4 linked regions of the Canis lupus familiaris genome follow. The protein of the gene in region 1 interacts with the protein of each later gene in a biochemical or structural test. Links are inferred from orthologs where the notes say so. Each region holds a gene or a part of one and is shown on either strand. Other genes may lie near its edges. The genes, in order: AURKB, CDCA8, CENPA and RACGAP1.

Region 1 (4,313 bases):
GAGAGTGGCCAGGGGAGGCCTCCTGGAAGAGGTGAGCTGAGTCTTGAAGACCAGGTGGAAATTTGCCATATGTTCTAGTAAACAACTATTTCCGCGTAAAGCTTTGACTCCCATGAAAGTGTAAAATACACCAAACTTAAACAGTGATCAGTTTATACCTTAGTTCTTGGATTCCGAAAGTAGGGCCCACGGATGGCGCCTCAGGCTATCTGTGCACTCTCTCAGACCGCCCGGGGTTTCTAGGGACATGGGCCACAGCGCTCATCCCATCCTATCAGGGAGGTAGGGCTCCGCCTCTGGGCAGATCTCAGGTGCTTGAGAGCAGCTAAGAGAGCAGTAACTAGAGACTTGGGGGGAACGCTGGGGCCTAAGAGGAGACACAAATTGCAAAAGGGAGAGGGAGATGCTGGAACACCAGCCCTCAGCGCTTGAGCCCCGCAAAAAGGCTTGGGACACGGACAGGAAAGGAGGGGCTGTCCCCTGCTGCCCTCCCCTGCTGTCTGCCCCAGGGACACGCGGGAAAGAAAGAGCGAAGGGTTGAACCCTTCAGTGATGTCTCCCCACCAAAGTATCGGTGTGTTGGGCATTAGGAAGGGCCTGGCCCTACAAATCAGACGACCCGCAGGTGGAACAAAATGGTTCAGCCCCGAGGTGCTACCAGGAGGTGCAGGGCCGCGGCTGCTCAGACCCTGCTGGGAGAACTCCCCAGAGCAGGCACCGAGCAGAGGGGAGGCAGCGCAGGTGGCGGGCACCGGGCGCCACCGTGTCTCGCCGCGACTCCGGGTGGCCCCAGAGCGAGGGCACGCTTGAGGGCGTTAAGCGCTTAGAGGCTCCCGGAGCCCGGAACCCTCTGCGAGGCCCTAAGACCTGGCCTTAGACACTCGTGCGGGCGTTTGCCTCGGATCCCCCTACCGTCTGGGGGCCTTAGGCGGCGGGGGGGGCTCCTGCCTGGCCGTCCTAGGAGGTAAGGGGAGAGCGGAGGGGAGTCGGGAAGATAGCGGTAACCTGATCGCACTGGCGGGAAGTCCTGCAACCAGTGCTGGTGGCCAGACCCGGCTCGGTGCCCCGATCCCGCCTGTCCCCGACCCCGCCCCGCCCCGCCCCCCATTCGTTAACGACTCCTCTTCCGTGGGTCTTCTCGGCCCCGGGAATTATTCCCTGGCCTGGGCCCTGGCGCTGCTCATCGCTCCAGGAGGGTGGACAGGTGCAGGGGCGGATGGAGGCGCAGGTGTGCACCTAGGCAGCTCAGGGCTCATTCATCGTCCCCAACCAGGCACCTCTGCGCCAGCGCACTGGGTCCCAGGGCGGCGGGCGCGGCCCGTTAGAGTCGAGACTCCAGGTGACGGAGACCGTGACCACGGCGAGCAGGTAGCCCCGGAGAGCTGCGCGGGGAGGGAGGGGAGCGCGGGAGGCCGAGACCACTCCCTCCTACTTCCCCGACGTTATTTCCTGGGAGGAGTCGGAGCGCGCGGGCGGCCGAGCAGATCCCCAGAGCCCGCTCGGGAGTCGGCGGCGTCGGGGCGGGTGGTCCCCGCGCGCTCGCCAGGCCGCCCCCACCCAGAGCCGTGGCCCTGGACCGCATCGGGCCTGCTACGACCTCTAAAGGCGTCCGCGAGCGTTCTCTCACGTCGGCTCGTTGGTCTAGGGGTATGATTCTCGCTTCGGGTGCGAGAGGTCCCGGGTTCAAATCCCGGACGAGCCCCATTTGGTTTTGGCGGAGACCGGGACGCCCGGAGGCGCTGGGGAAGGGACCGGCGCCGCGCGCAGGCCTCCCCGCAGACCCCGCGCAACCGGCCAGAGCCTGGAGCAGGTTCGCCGGGAGCTCTTTTGCTCCGAGCGCACAGCCCGGCCGGCCTGCCCGCGGGGGGCGCGCACGGGGAGAGCGCACCGACCCGGGCCAGCCCTTCGCCTTCCCGCCCCCTTCTTCCTGCGCAGGTCCGGGCCCAGGGGGCCGGGGCTGCGGATGACAGGGAGCGGAACGGGCCGGGACCCACCACGACCCGGCCTCCGTGGGCTTGGGGGCAGTCCAGGGCGAGCGGGGGGTCTCCGGCTGTCTCTTCCCAAGCGGCAGGAAGGGTGCAAGCCCCGGCCGATCGCGGCCACAGCTCCAGATCTCCGAGCCGGAGAGCGCCTCCTTCAGCTCCCTCCTCGTTAGTATAGTGGTGAGTATCCCCGCCTGTCACGCGGGAGACCGGGGTTCGATTCCCCGACGGGGAGAAGCGGTGTGCCTTTTGCTTTCTTTCGTTCTTCTCGTCCTACGATAAAATCCTATTCACGGTGAAGTATGCGTCCCAGGGCGTGCGGTGGAGATTTTCTTTAAAAAGAAGGGAGAACGGGAAGGCACAAAGTAGAGAGGATAGCTGGTGCTGCCCCTGGCGCTCGGGCTCATATTCTAAAAGTTCGAGTTTGTGTTTTGCATTCAAGCAACTTGCATGTGAATCGTGCTGCCGAATGAGCCCTCGGTCCCCTCCGTTCAGTGAATGTGCTTAGAGACGCGGTCGGAGCGAGGACAGAAGCGCGCCGTCACGGGGCTCCGCTGGGCGTGCAGCCCCCTGCGCGGGCGGTGACTGGGCCACAGGGTCCCCGCGGAAAAGCCATCCCGGCGCGAGGTTTTGAAAAGTTTGTGGGGAGGGGGAAAAAGTGCTGCGTTGGCCGGGAATCGAACCCGGGTCAACTGCTTGGAAGGCAGCTATGCTCACCACTATACCACCAACGCCCGCCGCAAGTCCCTGTTCCCCACGTCAAGGATTCAGTGCGTGCCCAGGCGCGAGGCGGAGCGGTGGGTGGGTGTGGGCCAGGCGGGGAGACCCAAGGGGACCCGAGACACCCCTGTCACCCCGGAAGGGACAGCGCTTGACCACGCACAGCCGGCACACGACAAAGCAAGATTCCGAGGACCTAGTGAAAGAGGCTTTCTGAGTCGCTGATAAAACCGGGGTTACATTTAAGATTCTAGGGGAGGGACCAGAGCTGCAGCGACACCGCGATGGCTTTGTCACCCCCGGAAATAAGTCACACTAGCTGCTTCTCTGTGTGTCCTGAGGTTAAAGAGCTGGGCTATGCGCCAAGAGCCCCTAAGCATAGATTGCGCACGAGGACGAGGTTCCATCCCCAGGTGACCGCGCACGGCTCTGGAGGTGACGCGGGCTGAACCCCCGGGGGGGCGGGGCTGAGGCTTTGGCTCCGCCCCCTGCTGCTGACGATAGTTCTGTTCACGAGACCCGGGCGACCGCGGACGCGGGAGGGCCTCGTGGCGCAACGGTAGCGCGTCTGACTCCAGATCAGAAGGTTGCGTGTTCAAATCACGTCGGGGTCACGGAAGGTTGCAATTTTCGTTATCTCGATTTGCCTTGGTATTTTCCTTTCCGGCAAAGGAAGAGGAGGTTGAAATTCGTTTCATTGTACCAAAAGAATACTAACTCCGGCACCTCTAAGGTTTTGTTTTTTTCCCCCGAAATGTATGCGTTTTCTAAATATTCTAAATACAAATTTAGGAATTAATGTTGCATCTGCACTGTTTTTGTCAAATCAGCGGATAGCGATACCTTTAGTCTCGTAGATGTTTTAGGTATCCTAACGCGAATTGTTCACGGAACAGCCTCGAGTTCTTGTTCAGAAAAGGTACTTGGAGCAATAGAGATTCATTGTTGGAAAGGGTGTGGCAAGAATTGATAATTATTATAAGTAGCAATTAATTAATTAAATGCAGATGTTCCTCAGACTTCCTAAATGTCCCAGAAGCCTGGAGCCGTGCAATTTTGCTGCTTCTGGTCTGTTGGTGGAGGCAAAGGGAGCAGAGGAATGCAGGCCAGCCACTCCATAGGCCTTCTCCTTCCCAGGGGGAAATTTCTTCCTGGACATCTCTTTCCTAACAGGGCCTCCGTTGGAGGGACCAGGCCTGGGCTGCAGAAGAGGAATTTGGGCGGGCTCAGCACCACGCGCCTGCTCGCCGGCTGGACACTGTGCCTCGCCTTCCGCGTCTGCTCAGCTCCCCAGCGGCTGTCCGGGTGCTCCAGCCACTCCACTCTGTTGGAGTGGTCACTGTGTCACCTGTGCAAAGACGGAAGCAGGGAGTCCGCCCTCACGGCTGAGCTGTGCGTGCTCCAACTGGGGATTGCTGATGACTTAGGAAGGCGACAGCAACCCAGGAGCTCCTGCAACCCTGCCTCGGAAGGCATGTGATGGGGGCAGCATGCAGCCCAGCTCCCCATCACTGCCCACCCTAAGCAGAGTACGTTTTAGGAGATAAAAAATGGGGAATTATTTTTTTCTGTCTTGCATTCAACATTTATTAGCTGACATTCATTCATAAG
Region 2 (4,084 bases), on another chromosome or scaffold:
AGAGTTGCAAAGAACCTGCCCAAAACAGAATGGCCTCCCTCTGTAGAACTTGACGGTATTTGAGCTTCATAGACTCAGCATTTGACAATCGTAATTTTCCAGTTGGCATAAACAGGATACGTCCCCTACAAAACCTCCTCCGTAGTAAGCACCCCCTGGTTGGATTTTGTGACAAGATTAAACTTAAAAACTAAGCACAGTTCCAAAATAGGACAGGTCACTTACTGTGGCTGCCTCTTCCAGGGCCTGTTTGTTTCCTCCAAGGGCTTTAAAAAGAACATTTTATTTAGTTACTAGCAGATCTTAATGATAAACCATCCTCCCTGATATATCCCATTATCTGCCTAAAAATGGGTCAGATTAAACCCTGGCTTCAACATTCAAGGATCTTTACAACCTCGTTTAATTTTTCTCCATATCTGACTGACCCCATTATGCATATTCTAGGTTCCACCACACTGGAAGTCCTTATTTCCCAAATGTGTCGCTGTCTCTCATGACTCCGTGCCTTGGCACGTACGTATTATTCCCTCTATCGGAAATGCTCCTCTGCGCCCAACAAGTTTCTAATTCGTCTTTCAAAACTCAGTTCCAATCCAAGGCTCTTTACTGTTCTATCACAACAGATCCCTGCGAAGTGCTGAGTTAGATGCTCAGCCTCATCATACCCAACAATTACTCAAAGCTGTGTAAATGTTCACCTGAATTCCTAGAAAACAATTTCGGGCGAAAATATGGCATGGGGTAGGTGTATAGCCAATGTGTGCTGAACAAAGAGGTCTGCACAAGATTTAGATGTAAAGTTAGGTTAATCCTTCTTCTAGAAACTCTCATAGAGTCCTGTAGAACTGTTAGAAATTCATGCTTTGAACCAGAATGCCTGGATTTAAATAAGTATACTTTGCTACTAACTAGCCTATGAGACGTTGAGCAAAGTAAACAACCTCTCTGTGCCTTAATTTTGTCATTTATAAAATAGGAGCAATATTAACAATGAACACTTTTGCTATGAAGATAAAATTAGTTAACTTACGTAGTACACTCAATACAATGCCTGCCCACCTAGCACGGGAAGCACTATATAAATGGACCTACCAACCACTACTCTACCCTTTTTCTGATACTTATAATTTTAGCTATATAATCATGTGTGCATTTTTATTTTTTTAAAAGATTTTATTTATTTATTCATGAGAGACACAAAGAAAGAGAGAAAGGCAGAGACACAGGGAGAGGGAGAAGCAGGCTCCATGCAGGGAGCCCGATGTGGGACTCAATCCCAGGTCTCCAGGATCAGGCCCTGGGCTGAAGGTGGTGCTAAACCACTGAGCCACCCGGGCTGCCCATGTGTGCATTTTTAAAACGATCCTCTTCTACTAACTTGTAAGCTCCTGAGGGTAGGGACAACGTCTGTTGTTATTTCCCAAAGCATTTTCACCCCTTAGCACTGGGACAGAGGCACGCTCCATGAGTATTTGTAGAAACGTGCAAGTCAAAAGGGTCATTAAGTAACCACAATTTGAACACAACGTGCTTTTCTATGCAGGACGGAACCTACATAATAGCTAATAATAAAGAAACGAGGAAAAGTAAGGGCACCCCAGAGCAGAAACGAGAGCCTGTCGCATGTCCTTGGGCATTTAACATGGGGGCCAGAGAACAGGCTGCAGTTTTCTGCTGGCCAGAAAAACTTGAGTCCTTGCGCTTCACAATCTGATTTGCCCTTTTTTTTTTTTTAACTGACGGTTTCCATGAGATGCAGAAAGTACGGCTTAGGGTTCTCCAACCATCTGAGCTCTGGTTAACGAACCAAGTTATTCAGGTATCCGTTTTTAAGCGACTGGATAAACTATCCAAAAAAAAAAAAAAAAGAGAGAGAGAGCGAGCAAGTGAGAGAGAGCGTTTTGTGACACAAAAAATGCACACAAATTTCACATTTCTGTGCGTCCCTAAGTAACGTTTTCCTGGAACACATACATGCACCTGTTCAATCCAGCAGTTTTGGGCCTAGAACAGCTTGAATTGAGTAGCTGCAAAGCTTCAAGAATTCAGTATGGGGTCCTTTAGAGGGGATGGATGCCTGCCTGCCTGCCTGCCTGCCTGCCTGCCTACCTGCGGGGCAGATGACGTCAGAGTCCTGTGCAGACAGGTGAAGCAGGGAAGTGCAATAAGCAGCGCAGGGGGGCGGGGGGCGGGGGTGATCACCGCCGGCCGAGGCCTGGGGACGCGAGCGGCTCTTACCGAAGTAGTCGAGCCAGTTCATCTCGCGCAGCGCCTTGGGGAGCCGCAGGATCTCGATGTTGTACAGGTTGTCCATCTCCTTGAGGAGGTTCTGTGTGTCCGACTGGATCTGCTTGGACCGTATTTGCACTGCGGGCAGGGCACACGGGCGGGTGAACCGGGGCCCGGGGCCCCGCACCCCACCCCGCCCGCACCCCGGCTGCGCCCCCTACCTTCCCGGTCGAAGTCCCGAAGAAAGGAGGCGAGCTTCCGGCTCCGCAAGGAGCTGGTCTTGGCCACCCGACTGCCGCCCTTCCTAGCCGGAGCCATGGCGCTTGGGTGGAGGCTGCGGGCGCCCCCGGGGCGTGGGGGGGGGGGGCGGTCAGCGGCCGAGGTCGCGGGAGAGGCCGGGCGGGCGCCCTAAGGGGCGAGCGGGGGGCACAGGCTGCCCCGGGGAGGCCCGAGCTTAAACGAGGCGCGGGGCACGTACATGCGGGTCGCCGAAAGCGTCCAAGAGAACCCCCGCCTCCGCAGCCGCAAGGACGGAGCAGCTCCTTGCAGAACCCGACGTGCAGCCGCCGCCGCCGAATTCAAACCGCCACCGGCTGACGAATCAGAAGTCGCCGTCTTGGGAGGCTCCCGCAACATCCAATCACAAGGACGCTCCGCCCGTAGGACTACAGCCCCCAGAAGGCATCGCGCGTTGCGACCTCCGTTTGCGCCGCGGCGGCCGCGCTGGAGCATGCGCGGAGAGGCGGCGAGGGAGCGCCGGGCGTGGGTGCCCCGGTGGGCGCCCCCGCTTAGCCGCCGCGGGCTTCCAGGGCTCCCGCCGGTTCGGGGAAGGCGACCGGAGCTGCCAGGGGAGGAGACAGAACTCGGGCTCAAGGCCCGGGTTTCGGGACAGCGCTGCGACCTGAAAGCGGGGCCGCCCCCGGGTCGGAGGGGGTACACGGCGCTTGCGCACGGGAACCCTCGCACCTGGGCCGCCTGGCGCTGCCCGCCGGCCTGGGCTTGTCCGGCAGGTGATGGCGCAGGACCAGCCTCTGCTCGCCGTGCGGGAGGCCCTGAGGGGCTGCTTCCCCGCCGTGCAGGAGCAGCAGCGCCGCTGGCGGGGCGCGCTCGGGGACTGCCAGCCCCTGCTGGCCGCGCTCGGCAGCCTGGCGGAGCAGCTGCAGGCGGCTCAGGTCGCGCGGCTGGACGACGCGCCCCCGCTTCGGGCCTTCCCGGGCCTGCGGGAGCGGCTGCGGCGCAAGCAGCTGGAGGCTGGCGACGACGTGTTGGACAAGCTAGGGGAGACGCTGTAAGAAGAGCTCCGCGCGGGAGGGTGGAGACGCGGGGGCTCCCTAAGCAGCTAGGATCAGTCGGAGAGGGGGTTTCCCCTTCCCTGGAAGGGAAGGAGGTGTCGCAGCCTCGCCTCTTCTCCATTTGTTGCAATGGGATTTATTGATTGATTGATTGATTGATTGATTTTATGCATGGGACGCAGGCAGAGGGAGATGCAGGCTCCACGCAGGGAGCCCGACGTGGGACTCTATCCTGGGTCTCTAGGGTCACGCCCTGGGCTGCAGGCAGATGCTCACCCGCTGAGCCACCCGGGGGTTCCCCGCAATGGGACCTCTTGTCACAAAGTCGTTTTACAGGGGCACCTGGCTGGCGTGGTCAGTCGGGCTTTGGGCTCTGTGGTTTTGGCTCAGGTCGTGCTCTCAGGTGGTGAGGTCAAGCCCGGCGCTGGGGCTCTGCACTCAGTGTGCAGTCTGCCCTCCTTCCTTCCCTTCCTCCCTTCCTTCCTCCCTTCCCTTCCTTTCCTTCCTCCCTCACTTCCTCCCTTCCCTTCCCTTCCTTCCCTTCCTTCCCTTCCCTTCCT
Region 3 (4,094 bases), on another chromosome or scaffold:
AATGAAAGGAGGAGGAGGACAGCAAGAAGTCCAACGTCAAGTTGTTGCGGGGAGGTGGCACAGGCAGTAAAGGACACTAGACTGGAACCGCAGTGTGTGACAAGGGGATAGAATGTTTCTAGCAGGAAGTGGCCCCCTGTGTCAAATGCTTCTCAGAGCAAGAAGAGGACATGGACAGGTCTATTGGATTTAGCAACATTAAAGTAGCTAGTGACCTTGACAAGAGTACTTCGAGTGCACTAGAAGGAGGGGAAGTAGTTGTGGGGAGCCAGACTAGATTCACCCAGGCTCCAGGGAAGCCTGGGAAGAGGGGAAACACACACGTGTGGTCTTAAGTCTGGCTGTTTAAAAAAAGGTAGCTATGAAGGGCACTAGAGAAATGGGGAGTATGAGAGACAGAGATGTGGGGACAAGAAGCACCCCTGCTCTTTGTCTCTGGATCAGAAAGAGCGGAGCACATTTGTGGAATGACAATGTAAAGAGCACGAACTGAATTCCAAGCGCAAGTGGAGAGGACAACAGAAAGCCCAGTGAAGGTGAGAGAAAAATAGGACCAAGAGCCCATGTAGGAGGAGTGAGTGGCTTTTGATAGGAAGGGAAGACCAGGGGTCTCTGCTGTGAGAAAATAAGGAGAATCCAGTCTGGGGGCTTCCTTAAGTGAAACAAGCACATGACAAGGTCATTATCAACTGAGAGTGAGTTGGGAAGCTGGAGTTGTAGGAATTTGAAGAAAAAGGTATGAATAGTCAATGGGGAGAATGGAAAAGCAAGACTGCCAGACAAGCACAGGAGGACTGCCAGGAAGTGCTGAGTGTCCATCTGAGATAAAACCTTTAATTTAACCAGGAATAGAAGGATGCTTCTACATTGAAGAGTAACAGCAATGGCGTACTTAACAATATTCATGTTAAAATTAGAAACAGGGGGGCAGCCACGGTGGCGCAGCGGTTTGGCACTGCCTGCAGCACAGGGTGTGATCCTGGAGACCCGGGATCGAGTCCCGCATTGGGCTCCTTGCATGGAGCCTGCTTCTCCCTCTGCCTGTGTCTCTGCCTCTGTGTGTGTGTCTCTCATGAGTAAATAAAAAAAAAAATCTAAAAAAAAAAAAAAAAATTAGAAACAGGGGTGGAGGGCAGCCCCTGTGGCGCAGCGGTTTAGCGCCGCCTGCAGCCTGGAGTGTGATCCTGGAGACCTAGATCGAGTCCCACGTCGGGCTCCCTGCATGGAGCCTGCTTCTCCCTCTGCCTGTGTCTCTGCTTCTCTCTCTCTCTCTCTGTGTCTCTATGAATAAATAAATAAAATCTTTAAAAAAAATTAAAAAAAAAAAAAAAGAAAGAAACAGGGGTTGAGGTCGCCTGGGTGGCTCAGTTGGTTAAGTGTGGGACTCCTGATCTCAGTTCAGGTCTTGATCTCAGGACTGAGAGTTCAAGCTTGACGTTGGGCTCCACACTAGGCATGGAGTTCACAATTAAAAAAGAAAGAAAAGAAATGGGCCAAGGGTGGCCAAACCACTTCTCTTATTTCAATACTAATCTCAGAGCTTCACTAATCCAACACACTAAGAAATAAAATATAGAAAAGTGAAAAAGATTCGAAAGTCCTTATTTGCAGACAATAGCCTATTTAACCATTTCAGTTGAAGCAATTGAACAATAAGTTAACAAGAGAATTCAGCAAGCTAGCTGGCTGGATGCAAAGGTTCTTAATCTTTAGGGAAGAAAATAACCCATAATACGCTTTTTTCCCACCCTGCTCATAACTACATTGCAGGAGACAAGTAAAGCAGTTGTTGCCAGAACAATTCTTGCTTGAGTGGGCCTCCCATCCACCAGACCACAGAGCGCAGAAACCGAAGACCACAAACTAGTCTTCTTTCCGGACCCATAAATAACCTCAGGAAGGGAACAAGGTGAGAGCGCTCTACTTGAGGCCCAACACCACCACTCACTGAAGAAACATACACACACCCCAACACCTGGAAAGGCAACTTCTGAAAGTAGAACTGTTTGAAATTGTCACAAAAAGCTGCCAATAATTCTGCAGTTAAAAAAAAAAAAAAAAAGAAAGCACAAACACTTAAAAAAAAAAAAATCCTGTCTGCTGGAGCAAGCTGTGTGACCTTAAGTTACTTGGTCTGCCTGCGCATCAGTTTTCTCATCTGAAAAATGGGCACAATGTAAAGTTGAGCTAAATCACCCAAGCAGCGGAACGCAATGCCTGGTAGGGGTTAGTACTCGATAAACGCTACTAGTAGTAAGACTTAGTATTAGGTGCCAGGCCGCCTGGGCCGTCCTTTCTGCTCCTCTAACTGCTTTCCCGGGTCCCTTGCGGGGCCTGGAACTTGGGCCGGGCCGAGCAGGTGCTGTAGGCGGCCCGGCTTTGCCCGCCAGCAGGGGAGCGCCGGCCGGAAGTCGGCAGATTCGGACCCGGGGTCCGCGCGCGAGCTCGGTCTTCTGGTCCGTGGAATGGGCACCTGGATGCGGCCGTGCCCACCTCACGGCCAGGGAGGCCAGGGAGGCCAGGGAGCGGGGAGGCCGGCTGCGGCCGGTTACCTAAGGAGGGGCCCCGCCGGGGGGCGCTGGGGGCCGGGCTCGCGGGGCGCCTCTTCGGGACTTCGGGCTTGCGGCGCGGGCCCATGGCGGGCGCCGGGCGTGGTGGCCCTGCGGCTCCTTCTCGGCCTTTGGGGTCCGGGGACCGAGGCTGGCGTCCTGCGGGAGCCCAGGACCAGGAGACTGCTCGGCCGGCCCCGGCGCCGCCTCGGTTCCAAGGACCCGCTCTGTCGATTACACTCGCGGCGTTTTTTAAAACCCGAATTCGGCAACTCTCAGTGGCTGCTTCTGGAACGACCCTGGCGCAGAGCGACTGCGCGGGGGACCAATGAGAGCACAGGCCGGAGGCCCGGCGCGCGCGGCGATTGGAGGAGAGAACGGGGACGTCGCGGACGGCGGTATGAACCAGCCAATGGGAACTTGGAGAAGTGAAAGGAGGCGGGAGCTTGCGGCCGTGCTGTTTCGAGGGCTCGGACGGTCGCCCTCGGTGCCTCGTGGTTGACAAAAGGAAGCACTGTCCTGAAGACGTCGGTGCGCTTGCAGAGCGCGTTCCTCAAGACAAATCACTGTTCGGACATTTTATGTTTTGTCCTATCAGCCCTGACGTGGCTTTTAAAGACGAGGAGACAGACTTACAGAGAATGTGGCCCTTCCAGGGACACCCCACGAATACGGCTCAGAAGCCAGTCTGACTGCATGAACGTTATCCATGACTAGGGTCGTGGCACGGCCAGGATCTGACGCTGTCGTCTGGGATCACACTCCCCAGCAGTGCAGTAGGAGCCCTGTAGGGAAACCACCCCTTCCCTTCCTGTTGGAGGTCACACACATTCCGGTCAAATGTACATCTGTGTAGTTAGAATAAAGATTTATTTTCTGCACTTGGTTCTCTTGCGTTTTCTAAATGTTCTCCAGTTAACGTGTATTGTAGTCAAGGAAGATGTCATTACAAAATCAGTGATTTCATGGAATCCTTCCTCACTGGTGCAACCAGAGTGGAAAACAGTATGTTGATCAGCCAAATACATTAAATGTAGAATTACCACACGACCCAGCAATTCTGCTTCTGGGTATACAAAGAACTAGAAGCAGGGACTTGAACCTATTTGTATTTGTACGCTAATGCTCACAGTGATGTTATTCACAACTGAGCCCCAAATGAATAAATAAAATGTGGTGCATACCAGGAATGAAATATTATTCAGCCTATTATTCAGAAAGTTAATTCTGACATGTTACAACAAGGAAAAACCTTGAAGGCATTGAGGTAGGTAACATACAAGACACAAAAGGAGAACTACTGTAGGATCCCACTTACATTAGGTGCATAGCCAAATTCACAGAAAGTACGGCGGTGGTTGTCAGGGGCTCAGGGGAAAGGGTTAGTGTTGCATGTTGAATGGCTATAGAGTTTGGGAAGATAAAAAAGTTCTGGGAATGGATGGTGGGACAACAATGTGAATGTATTTAATGCCACCGGACACTTAATAATGGTCAAGATGGTTTTCTGTTGTATTTTACAACTTTTAAAAAGAGGGAAAAAAG
Region 4 (3,560 bases), on another chromosome or scaffold:
GAGACTGAGCGTAGTGCTCTGGATGTTAAGCTGAAGCATGCACGCAATCAGGTGGATGTCGAGATCAAACGGAGACAGCGAGCTGAGGCTGACTGTGAAAAGCTGGTGTGTATTGTTCTCTATGCCAGAACTATGGCAGTGGGGGGAGGGGGCAGCATCATCTGGTCATGTTTCCATCTGCCAGTTATACTCAGTTTCCTCTTCCACATTAAAGAACTAAAAGCAATCTATCCGTTGACAACTTGGCCTTGACTGGAGCTGAAATTGCAGCATAGGAATCCTGTTCTTCATAGACTGAAATTAAAATATTTTTTCTCTTTTAGACTTGAAACTATAACTTCATAGATTTCAGATGAGAATTTAAAGAATTAAAATTAGGCAGGGGATTCCTAGCATGTTGATCTGTCACAAGATGTTGATGTCTCATGCCACCTAGAGTATCCTCATCCTTTTGTCAATAGCTAGTACTTTGTTATTGATACAGGCAAGACAACTCTAAGGTTTTCCATCATTACTGCCCTTGGTTCAGGGGAAGGGGCTAGATGTAATCTGCCAGTTGAGCAATGTGACTAAGGTAGAACACTATCATTTTGATGTTCCAGGGTGGGTCATGGTACAAAGGAAAGCCTGTATGAGGAGGCACTAATCCATCTTGGTACAGTGTTAAATGCCTCAGTAAGCTCAAATTGACTGGTTCCAGTGTGTCACAGCTTTGTATCCATTTCAATGCATTTTGCTCCACTATTTAGAAAGGTGGGTGGCTGCTTTGATCCATAGAGGAAGCCAATAATTGTCCTGATAAAATGATACTAAATTGTTTTTGCTATGTGAAATCTATTTTGGGACTCTCATTTTGCAATACTGTCTTGAATTAGCAGCTTGACCCAAAAGTCTTGTAGCAGAAAGCCCACTATTCTAGATGGAGTTCATTTTACCAGTCAGAAATCAGAGACGCAATCTGGGCTTGATGTGAATTAATATGCTATTGGTGTAGCAGGCTTCCTGAAGGCTCATTTGCATAATGCTGTATTTTAATGTCTTCTGGTCTGCCCGTCCCATAAATTTGAGGTGAAGCTTTCTCCCCTGGTTAGTTAGGATGTTTTACTCTGCTTTGGTCTGCAGGAAAGACAGATTCAGCTGATTCGAGAGATGCTCATGTGTGACACATCTGGCAGCATTCAACTAAGCGAGGAGCAAAAATCAGCTCTGGCTTTTCTCAACAGAGGCCAACCATCCAGTGGCAATGCTGGGAACAAAAGGTGGGGAAACTGCATCTGTTGTTATCTGATCACGAGCAATGCAGCTGTCGGAAGTTCTTGTTATCTGAACTCTTAAATATACTGCTTCTGGAATGTGTGCTGAATAAAGCAGAAAAAGACTTTGGAGGAAGGGCGAGTGGGAAATAAAGGCACAAGGGCCTCCCACTTCCTTTTATCTTATTTTGTTTTTGATCTTTCCTTGGGATGTTGTTTCACCATGGGTAAAATTTTGATGTTGGTGCTAAATTGCACATCAATAACTAATTCCACTCATTGCTCAGAAACCTAAAGGTGAAAGTGGCAGTTCAGCAGTACTTTGAATGTTTACTCTCCAGAGAGCTCTTGTAGCTCTTCTGGTTTAGAAGGCCTCTGAGCCCAGACCAGACAATAATTTTGGTTTCACTGCATCACTATTTAAAATAGTCTCAACCAGGCTTTGAATTTAACACCCCCGATACAATACATAGGGAAAGGTCAGCACTCTTAGAGCTATTTATTTTGTTGCCTGGTTGTTTTATGGGGAATCTTTATAACTGAGAAGATATATGGGCTTAATTTCTTCAAAAGCTAATGCTGGGTGATACTCTTTCTTATAGAAAGCAACCACAATTGGGATCAGATTAAACTTCACTCTTCTGCCTATGAATTTTTAGTAGCGTGTTCCGCAGGAGTAGCACCCATGCTCCTGACTGTAACTTTCAACTGATGTTGCGAGGTCTTTGCCAAAAAAACAGGTGTGCTGCATGTGTCTTCGTGCATGCACAGACACACTCTCCCACAGAAACCAGCACAACGAGGCTTTGAACTTGTAGTTGTCTCCATAGGAAGGCACTGCTATGAAATTGCTGATTTTACTTGACCCCTGTGACTTGTTCTGAGTGTTCTTGCATTTTTACTTTCCAGAGTCTTCTGTATCTAATACTGTTTTGTTTCACTCATTTAGATTGTCAACTATTGACGAATCTGGTTCCATTTTATCCGATATCAGTTTTGACAAGACTGACGAATCGCTGGTAATAAATGTTTGATCTTTGAAAATTGTCTATTTTTCTTACCCCTGCTCCCTCGGGAATCTCCTTTCTGTCCTCTCTTCTGATATTCCTTTATTACTGTTGTAGTAATTGATGTGTTATAGATACTGAGCTAGCATTTTGTTTTATTAATTTTAAGGTTATTTATTTATTTGAGAGAGAGAGAGAAAGAGTGTACAGCTGTGGGGGTGAGGGAGAGAGAGTCTTTAAGCATATTCCACACTGAGTGCAGAGCCCAACGCAGCGGGGCTCAATCTCACAACCCTGAGATCATGGCCTGAGCCGAGACCAGGAGTCAGACGCATAACCAACTGCACCACTCAGGCACCCCTGAGCTAGCATTTTAAAATAAAAATCCACATAAGCTATAAGAGACTGGCTTATATATTTAGTTTCTGAAAGTGAGAATATAGAATTCAGGATTTGGCATGAGGTTAAATTTATTTAACGGATCTGTGAGCTACATGTACTAATTGACTGTATCTTCTTGGCTTATTAAACATCCACAGCTAGCAAAAAAAAAAAAAAAAAAAAAAAAAAAAAATTAGCAAGATTCTACCCAGGCAGGGCTTATTTGCTGCTCTTGGAGAGAATAGACTTGTGACTTATTTCAGAGTTAGTTCGGTTCTTGAGAAAACTTAGTCATACTTCACAATTTAGAAGGAAACCAGTGCCTTGGAACTTCAGCCAGAAAAATGGCAAAGTTTCTAGGGACTCTAATGCTTTGTTCAACAATGGTTAATAGGTCTGAACTCTTGTTACCCTACCTTTGTGGGGCAGCACCCTTTTCTTAACTTACAATGATTTCTGCATAAAAGGTAATCTCTGATATTTCAATCTTTGATGTTCAGGATACTGGTGGTTTGTTGGTTTGTGTATCTTTCCTATTTTACTGGCTGAAAGCTAGCAAACAAAGCAGTAAATCAGGAGGTAATTCCTGGTTGGTTTTCTGATAGTGTGAAACAAGTGACAACTACTTATTAAATGGGCTAGGAGCATTACATCCCAAATCAGTGTTTGGGGAAATCATTGCCATTTTATAGATATAAATAGTAGGTATCACCTTTTTGAAATATAGAATGATATGAATAGGTTTGGGATATATAGTAAAACTAGAACCTATTAATAACTGATTTGGGAGCTAGACCAAATATGGTGTATCTGTTATAATCCAAACTGAATCAGATAATCAGTAGCTAAATTAAATTACTTGACCAGGAATTGGAGAGTTTAGATTTCATTTAGCTAAGCTACCATTTGCTCTCTACTG

What was found.
Region 2: the proteins of AURKB (region 1) and CDCA8 form a complex in vitro, tested with the Homo sapiens proteins (3 studies listed by BioGRID, with this or other methods). The link is inferred for Canis lupus familiaris from reciprocal best matches to the Homo sapiens genes AURKB and CDCA8.
Region 3: of the proteins of AURKB (region 1) and CENPA, one has a biochemical effect on the other in vitro, tested with the Homo sapiens proteins (3 studies listed by BioGRID). The link is inferred for Canis lupus familiaris from reciprocal best matches to the Homo sapiens genes AURKB and CENPA.
Region 4: of the proteins of AURKB (region 1) and RACGAP1, one has a biochemical effect on the other in vitro, tested with the Homo sapiens proteins (2 studies listed by BioGRID and IntAct). The link is inferred for Canis lupus familiaris from reciprocal best matches to the Homo sapiens genes AURKB and RACGAP1.

What each region holds. Positions count from the first base shown.
Region 1 is NC_049226.1:33,232,124-33,236,436, reverse strand, and holds the start of AURKB (aurora kinase B), read left to right. Parts: upstream 1-1,468; 5' UTR 1,469-1,647; exon of another isoform or gene 1,648-1,702; intron 1,703-1,935; 5' UTR 1,936-2,162; exon of another isoform or gene 2,163-2,217; intron 2,218-2,644; exon of another isoform or gene 2,645-2,716; intron 2,717-3,244; exon of another isoform or gene 3,245-3,316; intron 3,317-3,875; 5' UTR 3,876-4,192; coding exon of another isoform or gene 4,193-4,231; intron 4,232-4,313. UniProt on the Homo sapiens protein: Serine/threonine-protein kinase component of the chromosomal passenger complex (CPC), a complex that acts as a key regulator of mitosis.
Region 2 is NC_049236.1:4,883,862-4,887,945, forward strand, and holds the start of CDCA8 (borealin), read right to left. Parts: upstream 2,809-4,084; 5' UTR 2,551-2,808; coding exon 2,454-2,550; intron 2,371-2,453; coding exon 2,242-2,370; intron 267-2,241; coding exon 226-266; intron 1-225. Other genes in the region: C15H1orf109 (uncharacterized protein C1orf109 homolog), read left to right, coding at 3,246-3,520.
Region 3 is NC_049238.1:20,875,754-20,879,847, reverse strand, and holds the start of CENPA (histone H3-like centromeric protein A), read right to left. Parts: upstream 2,830-4,094; 5' UTR 2,638-2,829; coding exon 2,553-2,637; intron 1-2,552. UniProt on the Homo sapiens protein: Histone H3-like nucleosomal protein that is specifically found in centromeric nucleosomes. Replaces conventional H3 in the nucleosome core of centromeric chromatin that serves as an assembly site for the inner kinetochore.
Region 4 is NC_049248.1:41,947,124-41,950,683, reverse strand, and holds part of RACGAP1 (rac GTPase-activating protein 1), read left to right. Parts: coding exon 1-105; intron 106-1,122; coding exon 1,123-1,259; intron 1,260-2,202; coding exon 2,203-2,272; intron 2,273-3,560.